4 linked regions of the Sus scrofa genome follow. The protein of the gene in region 1 interacts with the protein of each later gene in a pairwise test. Links are inferred from orthologs where the notes say so. Each region holds a gene or a part of one and is shown in the gene's direction. Other genes may lie near its edges.

Region 1 (3,500 bases):
ATACTTCTGATTTTCCTATCAAACATTTTCACCGCATAATGACAGCGAGGATTGCATTCATGTTGACGAAGCAATTTACACCATTTTTTTTTTTTTCTGTCTCTTCAGAGCTGTGGGTAAAACTTGCCTCCTGATCAGTTACACGACCAATGCCTTTCCCGGAGAATATATCCCCACGGTGTAAGTATCCCGAGGTACACCGGGAATTGTCTGTCACAGGGTTTTTTTGGATTCCATTGACTTGTTCTGCTATGTCTTTCTTAATCCTTATGGGAACAGATAGAATTAATTGTCTTTTCATTCACCGAGTCTAATTATAAGGTGTTTGGGCCTTTAGAAGATACTTAATCTAATAGAAAGTTTCTGCACAGTGATGAAACAGCTTTCCTAATTGATTTCTAGATATTCAGGAAATGAAAGTTAAACCAACCGTGAAACCCAGAGACTGGATAATGTGAGCGTTTCAGATAAATTTGGCTTTCTGGGCTCTCTGTGTGAAGGGTCAAGGAACCGGAACAAAATACCATTATGTTTTAATTGGCCTTTTCTGGCAAGCAACCCAATGGTTGCTTGTCACTGTTGAGTTACTGGGCTTCGGTATTGAAACCAGGGTGTGTGTGTGCGCACGTGTGCGCGTGTGTGCAGGGCGGGGGTGTGTGGGAGGACGGAGCTGGTGCTGAGCTGCTGCTTCGCTATTGGCAGCAGAATTGGGTGGAATGGAAAAGTGCTTTTCTGATGATGGGGTTGCCAGGGAGCCCCATGTAGCTGAGCCTCCTGAAAAAAAAAGTCACAGTACTGTTTATTGAATAATCTAGCCTCTTCCCACCAAACCAGACGTGTATAGCACTTTTCCCTAGGAAAGCTGGCTTGGTCATTAACTTAAAAATCACATTGGAACCTACTCAGACCATGGCTTTGCTGCCACCAAGATCCTAAGGTTTAGCCTTAAGTATGGACAAGTTAATTCTGGAATTTTATTTTCAAGGCTTATGTTTTGTGTTCTGCTCAGTACTTGCCCTGGTTTGTTTGTGTATTTATTAACAACTTTTTTAGGTTTTGATATTTTTTCCTGTTGTTGATTTACAACGTTCTGTCATTTTTCTGCTGAACAGCAGAGTGACCCAGTCATACATATGTATGTATGTACCTTCTTTTTCTCACCTTATCCTCCATCCTGTTCCATTACAAGTGACTAGATACAGTTCCCTGTGCTGTACAGCAGGTTGCCCTGGTTTAAATGGTGATGAGAGATGGCTTTTTAATCAATGACTCCACGGTACTCGTAATTTTTTAGAAAATGTTTTCATGCCCTGCTACTCGTAATTTTTTTTTTTTTTTTTTTTTTTTTTTTTTTTTTGCCATTTCTTTGGGCCGCTCCTGTGGCGTATGGAGGCTCCCAGGCTAGGGGTCCAATCGGAGCCATAGCCACCAGTCTACGCCAGAGCCACAGCAACGCGGGATCTGAGCTGCGTCTGCAACCTACACCACAGCTCACGGCAACGCCGGATCATCAACCCACTGAGCAAGGGCAGGGACCGAACCTGTAACCCCATGGTTCCCAGTCGGACTCGCCAACCACTGCACCACGACGGGAACTCTCTCGTAATTTTTAATGTCAGCTTTGTTTCTGCCCTGTGGGCCGTGGGCGTCCGAGCCTCTTCTCACAGTGAACTAGTTTGAGTGCAGCAACCTCAGGTTAATTTATAGCCTGGTGAAACCTGGTTGCACACCCTTTGAAAACGTGACACTGTAGCGTCTCGGATCGGGTGTGCTTTGTGCTCCCCCTCCCCTGACCAAGGCTCCCCTGACAGCAGCCTCCCGCCAGTGGATTTCTACAGGCACTGCCCGTGCAGCCCTGGTGGCTGCCCCTACGGAGAGTGAGTCACATGAACACAGAAACTCTACAAGTGGGGTGTGAAAGAGGAACTAATTTTACGCTTTCTTCATTCCGGGGGAGAAAAACATTGATGTTCTCTTCACTCGAGGCAGGCAGGTTTATTTATTTATTTACTTTGCTTTTCAGGACCGCGCCTGAGGGTCTGGAAGTTCCCAGGCTAGGGGATGAATCCGAGCTGCTGCTGCCGGGTCCTTACCCCACGGAGCGAGGCCAGGGATCGAACCCACATCCTCGTGGATATGAGTCGGGTTCTTAACCCCCCGAGCCACAGCGGGAACTCCCCCTGCAGGTTTTTATTGCTGGCAGCGCCTGTTGGGTCAGCTGGGGAGCTTGTCCTTGTCGCCCAGACCTCCGCGCGCTTGTTTCCCTTGTTCGGCTCCCCTTTGCCTCCGCCTCTCAGCGCTCGGGAGGCCTCTCCTCGGGGCCGGCGTCTGCGGGCCTCCGTCTGCTCCCGCTGCCCCTCGCTGCCTGTGCAGCCCAGGCCTGGGCTCTTGCTGCAGGGCTAACGACTCATTGTTTGTGCTTTCTTCTGCAGCTTTGACAACTATTCTGCCAATGTTATGGTGGATGGAAAACCGGTGAATCTGGGCTTATGGGATACGGCTGGACAAGAAGATTACGACCGGTTACGTCCCCTGTCCTACCCACAAACAGTAAGGAGATGACTGCCTTTTAATGCCTCCTTGAAAGTAGACAGTTCCTGGAGTTCCAGTTGCGGTGCAGTGGAAACGAATCCCGAGGAATGACGAGGTTGTGGGTTCGATCCCTGGCCTTGCTCAGTGGGTTAAGGATCCGGCGTTGCTGTGGTGTAGGCCGGTGGCTACAGCTCCCATTAGACCCCTAGCCTGGGAACCTCCACATGCCGCAGATGTGGCCCTAAAAAGCCAAAAAAAAAAAGAAAAAAAAAAAGTAGACAGTTCCTGATTGACTAATTCGTATCACCTTTGAGTTTGCTGCTGTTTCAGTCTTTTGGGTATGTCCATCCAGTAAATAACAGTGTATTCAGTTGGTTCCATAGTGAATCTCTCCCTAGATGCCAGTCGGAGTTTTGTGTAATTTTTGATCGTTACCAGTTACTGACTATGGCGCTATGCGTTTCACCTTCTTTGATGCAGTTTTGGGACAGCCACGTGAAATAGGTACCGGCTTGTTTTTGCAAACCAGTTTTAAAAGCAGTTAGTTTCCAGAGTGACACTTGTTTATGGTTTTTTGGGTTTTTTTTTGCTTTTTAGGGCCATATCTGAGGCATATGGAGATTCCCAGGCTGGGGGGCAAATTGGCTGGCCTATGCCACACCCGCAGCCGAAGCAACGCCATACCTGAGCCGCATCTGCGACCTACGCCACAGCTCATGGTAACGCTGGATCCTTAAACCCACTGAGCGAGGCCAGGGATCGAACCCACGTCCTTATGGATGCTAGTCAGGTTCGCTAACCGCTGAGCCACAATGGGAACTCCCCTTCAAGTTTTAGTTTTTCCAAATTAAATAATTCTTAGGGCTTTTCTGTCCTTTAGTAAATCATTTTCTGTTTCTGAAACGTTTGGAAGTTTTGTGTACCCGTCTTGGGTTGCTGGGCTGCGAGTCAAGGTGTGGTCGGTGGTG
Region 2 (4,147 bases), on another chromosome or scaffold:
AAAAATGTTAACTCTTTAATGTTGGCAGTTAATTTTAAAATTTTAAATATTTAATACTTAAATATTTAAGGAGTTCCCATCGTGGCTCAGTGGAAACAAATCTGACTAGGATCCATGAGGACATGAGGACACAAGTTTGATCCCTGGCCTCACTCTGTGGGGAGGGGATCCAGCATTGCCATGAGTGAGCTGTGATGTAGGTCACAGACACAGCTTGGATCTGGCATTGCTGTGGCTGTAGCATAGGCCAGAGACTACAGCTCTGATTTGACACCTAGACCCATAGCCTGGGAACCTCCATATGCCATGGGTGCGGCCCTAAAAAGGCAAAAATTTTTTTTTTAATATTTAAAATGGCAAACAAACCAAACACATCTGTGAGCCAGATTCAGCAGGCAGGCTATCAATTGTGAGTACTCACAAAGAGAGAAGGTCAAGGGTCAAAGTTCATACACTGTCTTGGTGATACATAGGGAGATAAGAGACTGTGACAGGATTCAGTAACTAAAATACTATACTTAAAGCTTTTTCCAGCATTCTGAGCTCTATGACTGTCTCTACCCTTTAAGCCTATATATGGATTTGAATTTATACAGGAAGTTTAATCTAATCCTCAAATGGTGAAATCACCAGAATTTGAGTGCTTACTGTGTGCTGAGTACACAGAAGTCAAAGAATTTCAAATCTAACTGGAGAAAAAACATGCCCTCCTGAAAACTTGAGACAAATTATGAAATAACCTGAGAGACTGCTTTCTTCAGATTATGTTAGAATATCAGAGTCACCTTAAGTCCTGGTCCCCTCACTCCCACCCCCCGCATCACTTCCATTTAGCAAACTTTGTAGTAATGCCTCTGTGTGTGTGTGTGTGTGTGTGTGTGTGTGTGTGTGTGTGTGTGTGTGTAACTTGAATCTCTAATCAGAAATCTGATTTCCAGGGCAGTGGTTAAAAAGTGGCAGCCTCCATCCCTCCCTCAGCTTTGGAGGGGACTTAGCTGGGTTGGGGGTACTGGGGCGCGGGACAGTAGAATGGGAGTGGTTGGCGAAAACTGCTCCCCGTTAGGTTTCTCCGTTGGAATCCCTGTCTTTGTTTCTGTCATTACTCTTTAAGTGTTTGTGTAGGAGCAGACAGGCACCGAAATAGAAATTGTCAAAGAGATGATGACAATGAAGATAAAATACAAGGGAGGACTTTTTTTTTCAGTCCCACCTAGCCCCCTCCATCCAGAGTGCCAGCGCGCCTCCTCCCGCCGTCTTCAAAGAGCCGTCGATGGGGCAGGAAGCGGGTGGCTCGGGCTGTGGGTGCTCCTAGGAGAGCGGCGATTTCCTCCCGGGCGGGCCAGTTATCTCTAGAGTCGCCGAGCAGCTCTGCGAAGAGCGCGTTCTCTCCCCAACCCCGTACTCCTCAACCCACCCACCTACTTCCTCCGGCTCCATACACACATGAGCACAGAGCTGCCAAAAATTTCCACCCTCCGCCCCCCTCCCTAGCTAACTTCCTTCCAGCATTTCCTGAGCTGGATGATCCTAGGATTTGTAAGACAGGAAAAAAAGGAAGGCGTGAGGGCGGGCGAGAGAGACAGGATGCTTGTTTTTCGTTCTACCAAAGCCGTCTGAAGGCAAGACAGCGCGCGCCGGGCAGAGGACCCACGCAGTCCCCGGGCCGTCTCCGCGCCCGCCGCCGGCTTCCCCGCGCCCTCGGCCACTCCCGGGCTTCGAGAAGACGGACCGGAGAGCTCGCCCTCCCTCCAAAGAGGAGGAAGACAACCGAAGACACCGCGGGAACCTGTGAAAGTCCCTGGGACTCCAAGTGAGGAAGTGACACTCCCAGCGAGCCGGCCCGCCGCTGCCAGCTCCGCACGGCCTGCGGCACCGCGGCCCTGGAGGAGCGCGCGGTGGATTTCAGGCTCCGCGCCCGCGCCGGGCTCAGCGCCCCGCGGGCTCCATGCGCTCTGTCCCGGGCCCAAACTCTTCCCGACGCCCATGCGGCCCCACAGCGCCGCGCCGCAGCCACTGATCTAACCCCCACCCCGGAGACCACCGTCGGCGCGGTGCCAAGCAGAGGGGAGGGGGAGACGGAGGGCAACCTCTTTGGGACTAACTCATGAAGAACAAGGGTGCCAAGCAGAAGCTGAAACGAAAGGGAGCCGCCAGCGCCTTTGGCTGTGACCTCACGGAGTATCTGGAAAGCTCAGGACAGGATGGTAAAGTGCCTTCGCCTACCCCCCTCCCCCCTTCTTTTTGTTTGAGAGAAAGAGGGACTCTCCGAGGGTGTGTTACATTCAATTCACAAGTTAATGTATTCCAGGCTTGTGCGCTCCTTCTACTTTTTTTTCTTTTTGAAGAATATACACAATTCTTGAGGTGCATAGCGCTGCCACCCCGACGTGTAGAGGTTGTGTCAGTCCTTCCGTTTGTGTCACACAAGCCGTTAATGGGCGGTGCTGCTGCAAGTTTAAGCGGCTACCCCTGGGGGCCTGGGGTGGGGGCTGGAGAGATCCCGATCCCCAACTTTGGATGTGGGAGAGGAGGGGTGAGGACTGGACCTGTGGGATGGTGTTCACTGGGCTTCTCTGGGTACATAATTATGACCGCCTTAGGTGTCCCTCCCGGCTTCTCCAGTTTCATCAGCTCACATCTTTTTTTATTAATGTGCTGGAAGGCAGGGGGTGCGGTGGATCCTGGCTGGGGGAGTGGTTGCACAAACATTTTCTGAATTTCTGAACTGATGCCAAATATATAGTACCTCCCTCCCTCCCCTTCCCAACCCCTCAGACCCTTTACCTCCTCTTGGCTTTCAGATTAGCGTTTGGTGTGTCAGACAAGAAGAGTGTTGTAAAAAGGTCAGAGGGCCTTGCCTTGAAAATAGTTTAGGAGAGCGTTTCTTAAGGAGAGAGTCTCTGCTTTCAAGGTCAGATTGGAAAAAAAGCCGATCCTCCAGAGTAGAGACAATTTAAACATTTGTTAGGGGGAGGGCGAAAGAAAACAATCCAGAACACAATAACAGCATTTGAGGTTAGAAGTTTTTAATCATAGGAACGTTGGAGAAATTGAGCATTAAATGACTCCTTTTGTAAGGTTGACTGGCCCTGTACTTATCCGTGACAAAAAGGCCTTGTCTTCAGAAACTTCAGTGAGAGAGAAAAAAGTCTACTATATGGGCCTTGTGTTTATACATACATAGATACAAGAAAGGGGGGAAACTGAAGGGCTAACTATGCAGAATAATTCTGCCTCCAGGAAAATAATCTCAAAAGCTATTTGATTAGCTCATATCAAATGTGCATCTCAAAAACAGAGCAATGCTTTTGTTTCTATTTCATTTTTTTCAAAGACTCAGCACCACCTAGTAATTTGCAGTGGTGTGATATTCCTGCGGAATTCTTGAGTTCAGAGTCTGCTGTGTCATTAGGACAAATAGCTTGGTATTTTACAGCTTGGGGGACCGCACATTTCAAAACTGCCTCTTTTGCAACTGGGACACAGCAGAGTCAATTCATTTAATCCTCTCCAACAATCTGGAGAGGTAGATTTGAAATAACATCGCATGGGGTTGAGTTTTTTTGAGTGTGAGAGAACGCCAAGTATGCAGCTTAACCATTACCCTCAGAAGTTCGCAATGAAATGTTTTCCTCCACCTGTTTTTGCAAAGGGGGGCCTTCAGGTTCACATCCAGGTTCACTTAATGAATGCTTGTGGATACCACCTCCTACCATGCAGGTGTTCTTCTGGGCCCTCACTCCAAAGTTTAGAGTTGCGTGGAGGTGCTTATCAATCCTGCCCCTTCTTACAATGTCACAGGTCATAGGATGAGCCAGGAATCCCAGGGTTCTGTAAAGACACTTCAAAGGCAGCCTTAGACAATCCCTCTTTCACCTGCTTTGTATTTTGGGCTTTCATATATGTTTCATTTGGAAAAAAAGAAAAAGAAAAGGGACTACTGCTGAAAGGGGAAAAAAATGGAAACCAGTACCCAGTGCTACCTACCCTGGGAAGGGAGGAGGCAGTGCAAAGAGGTAAACTGACCTGCCTTATATCTTCAGTCATGAAGGAGGCAGAGGGCTCTGGCCCACTAGGCTCCTCTCCCTTCCCCGGCTTCCTTGTCTAGGCCAACATTCTCCTCTAATGCTTTTTTTTCTCCCCCTAA
Region 3 (4,249 bases), on another chromosome or scaffold:
AACTTTCACCATACCAGAAGAGCAAGAATGCTGCAGTTTACTAGAAGCTCCAACCCAAGTCTCAGTGGATCTCGTCGGCTCTGACTGAGTTAGGTGACCATCTCTGAAAGCCTCCACCACCAAAAGGAAGAATTATGCTGTGTGGCTTAAATGGGAGGAATAAATTGCAGGAGGCAACCAACAAATATGTTCCATAACCACACAAATTAGCCCTAAATAATAATAAATAAATAGCTGCATTGGCTCTCTCGGCTAGGTTCACATACTCAAAGCACTTTAGAAAGAGGTATGCTAGCCATGCCCTCTGAAACTGAAACACAGTCTCCATGCGGTCAGCTGTTTGTTTCCTCCCTCCTCCACTAGCACTCCAAGTCTCCTTTTGGCTTCATTCATTGCTGCTGCACAAAGGCCTCTTTTTGTTGTGAAGAAGGTGGCGGTCAGCTGTTGCTACAGTAAGATGCAATCTTCCCTCCCTTTTTTGTGTTCATATAACAATTTCCAGCAAGGGGTCAATAATGCCCAACTTGGATCAGTCCTATCCCTTGGCCCAGTCGGTGCTGCCAAAGGCAGAGTATTCTAACTGGCTTGGTTAACGTGCCGATCGATCCCAGTGGTGAGGACACTGTGCTGTTGCCAGTGAGGCAATAAGAAAATTTTAAAGCTGTCAAAACAATGGCAAGCACAGACCAACTTGGTATTTTATTTTTATTTTTATTTTTCCTTTTTCAGATAAAAGTTTTCATGGGTCCTGGAGATTCATGTATCTCCAGACTTAAACAGAAGCTTTTATTTTATTTATTTATTTATTTTTGTCTTTTTGCTATTTCTTGGGCCGCTCCTGCTGGCATATGGAGATTCCCAGGCTAGGGGTCCAATCAGAGCTGTAGCCACCGGCCTACACCAGAGCCACAGGAACCGGAATCCCAGCCGCGTCTGCAGCTCAGCAGCTCACGGCAACGTCGGATCGTTAACCCACTGAGCAAGGGCAGGGACCGAACCCGCAACCTTATGGTTCCTAGTCGGATTTGTTAACCACTGCGCCACGACGGGAACTCCCAACTTGGTATTTTAATTGTGGGCTCTTCTTGAAGGTCAGACAAGGTGGCTGCACTTTATTGAGAAGGAAATGTAAAGTACGAGGGAGACCTACTGTTAGCCTTGAGTAAAGAGCAAGGCAAGATGGATTAGAGAGGTCAATCTAAACATGGAATGAAGTTCAGAGGAGCATCGCAGGTGGGAATGTGAGGATCGGGAAGCGCCATCTATTCCGGTTTTATCATTCCTCTAATAAACCGCCACACTTTATGAAACAGTAACAGTTAAAGGCCCCTGGTTTCCAGCCATGCATTAGCACAATTCTTCCAGCTTTTGTGAAGGCGTTCTGGAGGAAGTACGGTTATTTTGGTCTTCTTCTAGATTCAATGCTTTTGGTTGGCAAGCTAACCGTGCGATGGGCAGTTCTAATTAAGGAGCTCCTCGGGAAACGCCGAGCCAGAGAAGGCGGTGGGAACTGGGACCCCGTTGCACCGCAAGACCCGAGGGTTTGCCTTCTGGACACTAATTTCAGGGATGCCGAGGTCAGTCCCGGCACGGAGTCTACACAAGTTTCTCCGCGGAGGCCACGGCGCTCCCTGTGCCGCAACCCGCAGCCAAAGTCCCCACGGAAGCCGAAGCCTCTGCGCCCAATCGGGGCGGGGGGAGGCCCCACCCAAGAGCGGGCCGAGCCGGCCTCCGGGCCGGTTTAACTGGTTACGGCTGAAACCCGCCGGCGGGAAGGTCTGAGCTTCCGCAGCTAAGAAACACGTTGCCCTCCTCCAGTCCGCGGCCAGCACCGCCCCAGCGATCCTCGCAGACCTCGCTTGGGCAAGGTGCGCGTCGCCCGCCACCACCAGGAACTGCGCAGGCGCCAGCGGACTCGAGCCCGGCGCGTCCTCTCGCGCGCTCCCAGCTCTCCCCAGCGGGCGCCGGGACCGGGCAGGCGTGGTGCTTCCTGGGTGTTGTAGTGCGCTTCCTGGCGGAGGACTGCCTACAGCCTCGGCTATGGGTTTCCGTGGACTACCGCTCCCAGCGTGCTCCACGCTGGGGGCATAGGGCGCCGGCCCTCGACGGCTCCGGCCTTCAGCGCCGAGCTGGGGACCCGGGAAGCCGGCTGCGGCGGGGAAGGAGTGCGCGTGCGCGCTGGCCCGGCTCGTCCGGTTCTGTCCCAATCATTGTAAACAGGCGGAGGCTGGGGCGGGGTGGGAATGGGGTGCCAGAGGCCGGCCCAGGGCTTAGCGAAGGAGGTGGTTGCGGCGGCGGCGGCGGCGGCGTGAGAGTCGGGAAGCGGCGGCTGCGGCAGGGCAGGCGCTCACCCGGCGCGGGCGCAGGTCAGTGGCGAACGGTGGGTGGGCGGGGGTCGCGGCGTATGTCAGCCTGGAGCGGGGCCAGGCTCCTGGCCGGCGCGGCGGGGGCGGGGGCGTGGCTGCCCTAGCGGGCTGGACCCGGCGGGTTCCTCCGCGTTTCGCCCCCACTGCCGGTCTCTCCCGCTCTTCAGCTGGCCTATCGGGACTCCGCGGTGTGTCCGGGCTCTTGGGTCTAGGGGAGGAGGGTGGGTTTGGGGCTCTGCCTCAGGCAGCCACTGAGCGCGGGGATGGAGCTTGGGGACTCGGCCCTTTACGTAACCGCAGCGGAACTGTGACCGGCCTCTAGTGCTGCCAGGTGGGCGGGGAGGGGCTCGCGGTCTTCCACCGCCAGCGCGGGAGCGGCAGAGCTCCGGGGCTTCCGCGGGACCGATCCGAGGGGAAAATTCTTTTCACAACCTTGTCTATTAGGTTTGTGCTTAAAGGCTTTATTGAGGTCAGCATACCCCCCACCCCCCACGCTTGGTCGTTGTGAGAGTGAAACAGGTTTTACAAAATTCCCGCACCTCTGCTTTACCTGAAGTCATTATGCTGCTTCAGGTTCTGGGATTCATGACCCAGAGCCTTCCTCTTGAGCAAGCAACATGTCTCGGGCCTGGTGGAGTTCTGGAAGGTGATTAAAATACTAATTCGAGGGATTTTGAACATTCTTTTGAAAGAAGCACAGTCATTTGGACACTGAGTTAACACACCGACTCGCCCCATTAGCAGAGCTTTCGCCGATTTTTTTTTTATTGAGCGGAGCGTGCATGTCCCAGGGTTGCGGCCCTTGGGTGACATTCTGTCCCACTGGGCAGTTATTCACGGAATATTCAAGAAGTCATAAGGGACAGGCCCACTTGTGGTTTGGTGGTCCTGGAGGCAGCAGTACTTCTAAAAGAATAAGTGGACCTCTGAATGAGAAAGGTGACTTCACTTTTTGCCTTTCCAGTTTTCTAGATGATTAATTAATTCCTTTCTGAGTATTTTCCTGAGAATGCGTAATTGCTGTAAACTGAATTGGTGAGTAGTCGAGGTAGGAAGTTAGTAGAAGGGTTCCCACTTTTCATAGTAGCCCGTTTGACAGTAACTGTTGAGAAGTAATTCTTTAAACAAAGTATCTTGAAGCAAGGTGACATAATTTATGATCTTTTCTTCAAAATAGCATTTCTCATTTTACATCCTCCAGGGACCACTTCTCTTTTAATTTAGAAAAATATAAGTGGTATTAGAAAGTGCATATTAACTTTGATTTATACAGTTGTTTGCTTGGCAAGGAAAGATTGGGCCCAGAATGTCACCCCAAAGTATGTTCTTTCTTGAAAGGAAATCTGGGATAGAAACTTTTGTTAATATATGGGAAATTGCAGATCACTTAGTGTAGAGGAATTTTTGTGTAGCAGGTACTGTGAAGATGGCTTAGAGATAGATAAGGTACTGTCCCTGCTTTCTGTGTGATAAGACTTTATCTCTTATTTGAACTGTCTGCAAGTCCAATGTGTTTTTAAGATCATTTTCACTGGAGAAAGGATGGGCCACAGTGGGTGTACAAAGGAGGTAGTGGTCATTTTATTTTTAAGGGAGGAGAAGGAAAGATTGAGAAAGGGGGCACTAGGAAGAAAAAGTGTATATTGGAGGGGATGAAAACGGTAGGTGTACAGGCACAGAAAGCATGGGCATTTAGGTAGGAGAAACTGCAGGAGTCTCAACTTCCGTGAATCGTAGGGTCTGCAGGTATAGATAGCAAGGGTACAGGGTGGTGGCAAGATCTGAAACTGGGAACTTAGGCAGAGACCAAATTAGGAGTAGTCTGTAGATAAGCAAAGTAATTTATCTTGAAGCAAACAGGAGTTGTTGAGACAGGATGGAGA
Region 4 (4,228 bases), on another chromosome or scaffold:
TTGTTTTAGAAAATCTGCCCTGCTCAACAAATTACAAGGCCTATTTTGACTTGTGTGCTTTGTAGTATCAGTCATATAAATGGAAACGGATCTGACTGTAAGAGGGCCGCTGATGAAGGGCAGGGAGCACCTTTTCTCAACATTGGGCTGAAAGAGTAAAAGTTGAAAAAGAGAAATTTCCATTTAGCTATTCAGCATCTCCCTCCTACAGGCTGTGCTACTGCCTGCGCCCTTTCCCCGCCTAGACCGTAGTTGCTGCCGCCTGGGGAGACCGACCTGACTCCTCACCCCAACCACCGAGAGTCGGGGCGCGACCAGAGTGCAGGGAACGGGAAGGTTTCCCCCAGCCTCCTCCCGCAGGGCGGAGGACGCAAGACCAGCCTCTGTCTCGCGCGCATGCCCAGTTGGGAGGGTGCCCTCAAAAGGGAGCGCCCAGCTCAGGTTGTCCCCGCCGCTGGGGAGGTGCGGGGAGCAGGCGCTGGCCCCGTGGTCCAAGGAAACTCCGGCGTTCGACCCGATGGGGCCGCAGCCAACTGGGCGGACTTTTGGTTTCCTGCCTTGGCAACCTGTTCCCGCCGCGTTTAAAGGGAGCGGGGCAAAGATGGGCACATCCGAGGAGGGTGGCGCCCGACGGCCAGGGCACCCTTGTGACATGGCTTTTCGGGTGTCCTCCGGGGAAAGGAAGGCCGCGCTCCCCTAGGAAGGAGAACGATACGCTCCGAAGAAATCCCGGGGCGGTCACTCCTCTCGCTGCCGGGAACCTCTTTTAAACTGGCCGCAGCCAGGACAGACTTAACTGTCCCACTGATGTGCCCGCTAATGTTAAGCGCCCTTCCCGCGGCCACCTCCCTTCTCTGTGCCCAGCGGGCCCACACGGCTGCTCTGAAAACAAGCGTCCTCAGATATCTGTCTCCAGAGGCGCTGGCCTCATCGCCAGCATGTCCATGCCGGCCCCGTTTCAGGACGACTGCCTTGCTTCCCGACCACCCTCCCGGGTCTGAGGCGGCCCAGGGTCTCCTCCTTCGGGAAATTCCCGCCTGTGCACCCGGCCTGTCGGGTAATGAAGACTGGCCCGTTTTCCGGGTGTGGGTTGGCCAGGTCGGGGTAGCGACCTGGAAGGTAATAGTTCGGGCACAGCGTCCCGGTACCCAGCCTGCCCAGGGCCTACCCTCCGCCCCTCCGGCGGCAGCCATCAAGCTCCTCCGCGGCGGCTGCAGCCGGCCCGCAAACACACGCCCACCCGCACGCTCAGATTGACTTGCCCCGGGGGGAAAAAAAAGGGAGGCACTGAGCATGCTCGGCGGGGAGGGCGGGGCGCTCCCGGAGTGCGCGTCGGGGCGGGCGCTCCTCCGGCCGGCTCGGCGCCTCCGCCGCCTGCCCGCTCCGAGCTGCGCCCGCCGCAGGCTGCGCCCGCCCCGCCCTACCCCGCCCCGCCCCCCGCCGCTCGTCCCCGCCGCGGCCGCGCTGCCTGCAGCAGCAGCAGCAGCGGCAGCAGCAGCGGCAGCACCAGCTGCTCCTCCCCGGCGGCCGCCCCCCGCGGGTCCCTCCCTGGTTGCGGGAGAGACAGAGGTAGAGGGAGGACACAGCGCCGCGCCGCCCGCACCGGAGACCTTCGCCTCGACCTGCCGGCTCCTCACCCTCTGGGAGGAACATGGGTAAGTCATCCTTCCTCCCCCGTCATCGCCTGACATATTTCTCTTTCTCGGCGTGGTGCAGGGTGGGAAGCATTTCTCGCGCAAAGTTGCCGGATTTCTCCAGTCCACCGGGGTGAGGCAGTGGCTGTTTCTCCGGGGAGAGTCGGCGCACGCGGAACGCACGCCGGGTCCCAGGGCTGGGAGGGTCCAGAGTGCGGGGTGGGGTCGGGCCGCGGGGCCGGACCGCCGCCCGGCTCTCGGGCACCTCGCTGCCTCGCCTCCCCTCCTCCATTCTTCCTGCCCGAGCCGGTGCCCGGGCACCACGGAGCCTGCCCCGCGGGCTCGCATCCGCTGCCCCATCCCGGTTTCTTCAGAGGCCGCCGGCTTCCTTCCCCTCGCGGCTGCTGGGCTGGAGACTCGGGTCCGACCGCTAGAAAGACCACTTCACGTAACTTCCCTGTCTGGGCGACCTTTCCCCATCTTGGGGACTGCTCATCCCGAGGCGGGGAAGTGGGAGCAAGTAGTTTGTGGGGGTGATTTTACAACCTGCACGGAAATTATTTTCGGTGGGGGAGAGCGGACAGTCTCATAGGTTGAAAGGATGACTTGTCAGAGGCCACGAGGAACGTGAGGCAGGATGGATAGAGCCGCTAGCTGTTGAATTCGTGTTGGGTGACTACAGTGTGCACTATTCCGGTGTTCAACGCATTTTCTTGGCTCCTTCGCCTGTCTCCTGTAGCACGAAACTGCACCCTGCCTGTCTGTAACATGGTACCGAACTTACATACTAGTAATGCTTTCCCAGCTTCCCTTGTCGGAATCTATATAATGCGATTTTAGTTCCTTCGTGTTTGTGATTAATCTTAAGAGTTTGGGATGAGATATTTAAGAGTTGGGATGAGATGTTTTACAAAGCTACATATAATTAATCCTACTTTTTCATAATATGTTGCTTCATTGTTAAGTTCAGTAATTGCAAAAACGTCTGGTGGCTACGGTAATGTGATTAAAAGACGAAACATTTTTAAAAATTGTAGCGGTTTGGAATGCCATGCTTCTGCCTGTTCCCCAGTTTGCTTCCATTCCTGTCATAGTTTCTTTCTTCTTTTTAAAATTTGCTCCTTTGGCACCTGTCAACTCAGACTTTCCCCACCCCTTCCTTGCAAGTTATTTTAAGCTTGAGATGAGTGTGGACCTTTTATCTGTCAGTCTGGTGCCCAACACGTCCAGAGTTAGGTCATGGCAACTCAAAATCTTCAAGGAAATATCTAAATCTAGAAATGGTGTCTATGGAGCTCACTCGAAGAGCAAATGCTCCAAGCTCTGATTCAGACCTTTGGCGGAAGAGGTCATTTTTGCAAGAGGAGGTATAAATCTAGGACACTGAATTTTGTTTTCTGTTGTTCAGTTTTTTCCTTTTTAATGTGCTGTAGGTATGCTGAACATATTTCTGTAAAAGTTTGGTGGCCCATTTATTATTTATATAAATTTCTCTGGGAGTAGAATTTTAAATAAATATCAGTTCAGATTATTGGATACCTTGTGTCTTTCCTTTGAACATTGCAAAGGTTTTCTACTTAATTACAGGCCACAAGTAAAATAATTAACCCGAAAATCTTTGCTTGATTTCAAAGAGAGTCCAAATAGAAATCCATCTCTCATTTGAAGCTTCTCAGATACTCGGATTAAATCACCCTCTCTCCTCATACCATTCTGTTTGTACCTTGTTGGAAGCTTTTTAGACCTTACATAATCTGCTTTATAACAGAGTTGTTTATGTGTTTGTATTGTGCATTTAATCATGCATTCTAGAAGGTGAAAATTACGTCGTTTTAATTTCAGGGTCCTCCACAGTGCTTTCTACATAGTAGGTATTCAGTAAATCTTTGGTAAATTAATTATTGAACTGGAAACCTATCTATTATTTTCAACTGGGGAACCTGAAAGTCTGGGCCCTGAACAGACATTTGGGTTGATAGATTTTGTGCAGGTGGTGGAGGTGTGGAGGAACTGGGTACAGAGAAGTATAATTATACTGTGACTGCTCTTCTCTTTCTCTCAAAAAAAAAAAAAAAAAGTTGTGTCGTCTCAGATGTGTGGGTTTTGGAACAGCCACTAGGCAAGCTATTTCTTCCTACACTGCTCTTTTCAATGGTAAGGTGGTTTTGTTTACCATCAGTAGACATATACAATAATGTAAAATTGAAACATTGAAAGACAATATTATATTCTAAGCCAAGGAAGTTATTATAGCAATTCCTATATACATAAGGGTATACTGATAAGCGATAGGGGTCAAAAAAATCGCTAATGTCATTTTCATAAGTAAATATGGTGATTTTTAAAGAAGATATTGTTATGGCAGTGATTTTTCTCCAGAAGAAAGTGAAGGAAACTTCCAATGTAACCTTATGGACCATGTCTATTATTTTTATGTATACATTTATATATATATATACTTAAAATTCAGTGTGTACTTAATATTTCTTGTATACCTACCGTGGGAGGAGAAAGATCAAGAAGACATTCGTTTTTCAGGTTGCTTACAATCTTAACAGGAATGATACATACACAGATAACATTAATAGAAATAA

What was found. The genes of interacting proteins can lie anywhere in the genome.
Region 2: the proteins of RAC1 (region 1) and ARHGAP31 interact in a two-hybrid assay, tested with the Homo sapiens proteins (2 studies listed by BioGRID and IntAct, with this or other methods). The link is inferred for Sus scrofa from reciprocal best matches to the Homo sapiens genes RAC1 and ARHGAP31.
Region 3: the proteins of RAC1 (region 1) and RALBP1 interact in a two-hybrid assay, tested with the Homo sapiens proteins (2 studies listed by BioGRID, with this or other methods). The link is inferred for Sus scrofa from reciprocal best matches to the Homo sapiens genes RAC1 and RALBP1.
Region 4: the proteins of RAC1 (region 1) and RAP1GDS1 interact in binary tests that used the Homo sapiens proteins (3 or more experiments, as listed by UniProt). The link is inferred for Sus scrofa from reciprocal best matches to the Homo sapiens genes RAC1 and RAP1GDS1.

Annotation. Positions count from the first base shown.
Region 1 is NC_010445.4:4,790,011-4,793,510, reverse strand, and holds part of RAC1 (ras-related C3 botulinum toxin substrate 3), read left to right. Parts: intron 1-108; coding exon 109-180; intron 181-2,432; coding exon 2,433-2,550; intron 2,551-3,500. UniProt on the Homo sapiens protein: Plasma membrane-associated small GTPase which cycles between active GTP-bound and inactive GDP-bound states.
Region 2 is NC_010455.5:140,945,704-140,949,850, reverse strand, and holds the start of ARHGAP31 (rho GTPase-activating protein 31), read left to right. Parts: upstream 1-1,347; 5' UTR 1,348-2,104; coding exon 2,105-2,204; intron 2,205-4,147. UniProt on the Homo sapiens protein: Functions as a GTPase-activating protein (GAP) for RAC1 and CDC42. Required for cell spreading, polarized lamellipodia formation and cell migration.
Region 3 is NC_010448.4:98,596,146-98,600,394, reverse strand, and holds the start of RALBP1 (ralA-binding protein 1), read left to right. Parts: upstream 1-1,449; 5' UTR 1,450-2,366; intron 2,367-2,465; exon of another isoform or gene 2,466-2,554; intron 2,555-4,249. UniProt on the Homo sapiens protein: Multifunctional protein that functions as a downstream effector of RALA and RALB. As a GTPase-activating protein/GAP can inactivate CDC42 and RAC1 by stimulating their GTPase activity.
Region 4 is NC_010450.4:122,004,610-122,008,837, reverse strand, and holds the start of RAP1GDS1 (rap1 GTPase-GDP dissociation stimulator 1), read left to right. Parts: upstream 1-1,428; 5' UTR 1,429-1,651; coding exon 1,652-1,655; intron 1,656-4,228. UniProt on the Homo sapiens protein: Acts as a GEF (guanine nucleotide exchange factor) for the Rho family of small GTP-binding proteins (G proteins) that stimulates the dissociation of GDP to enable subsequent binding of GTP.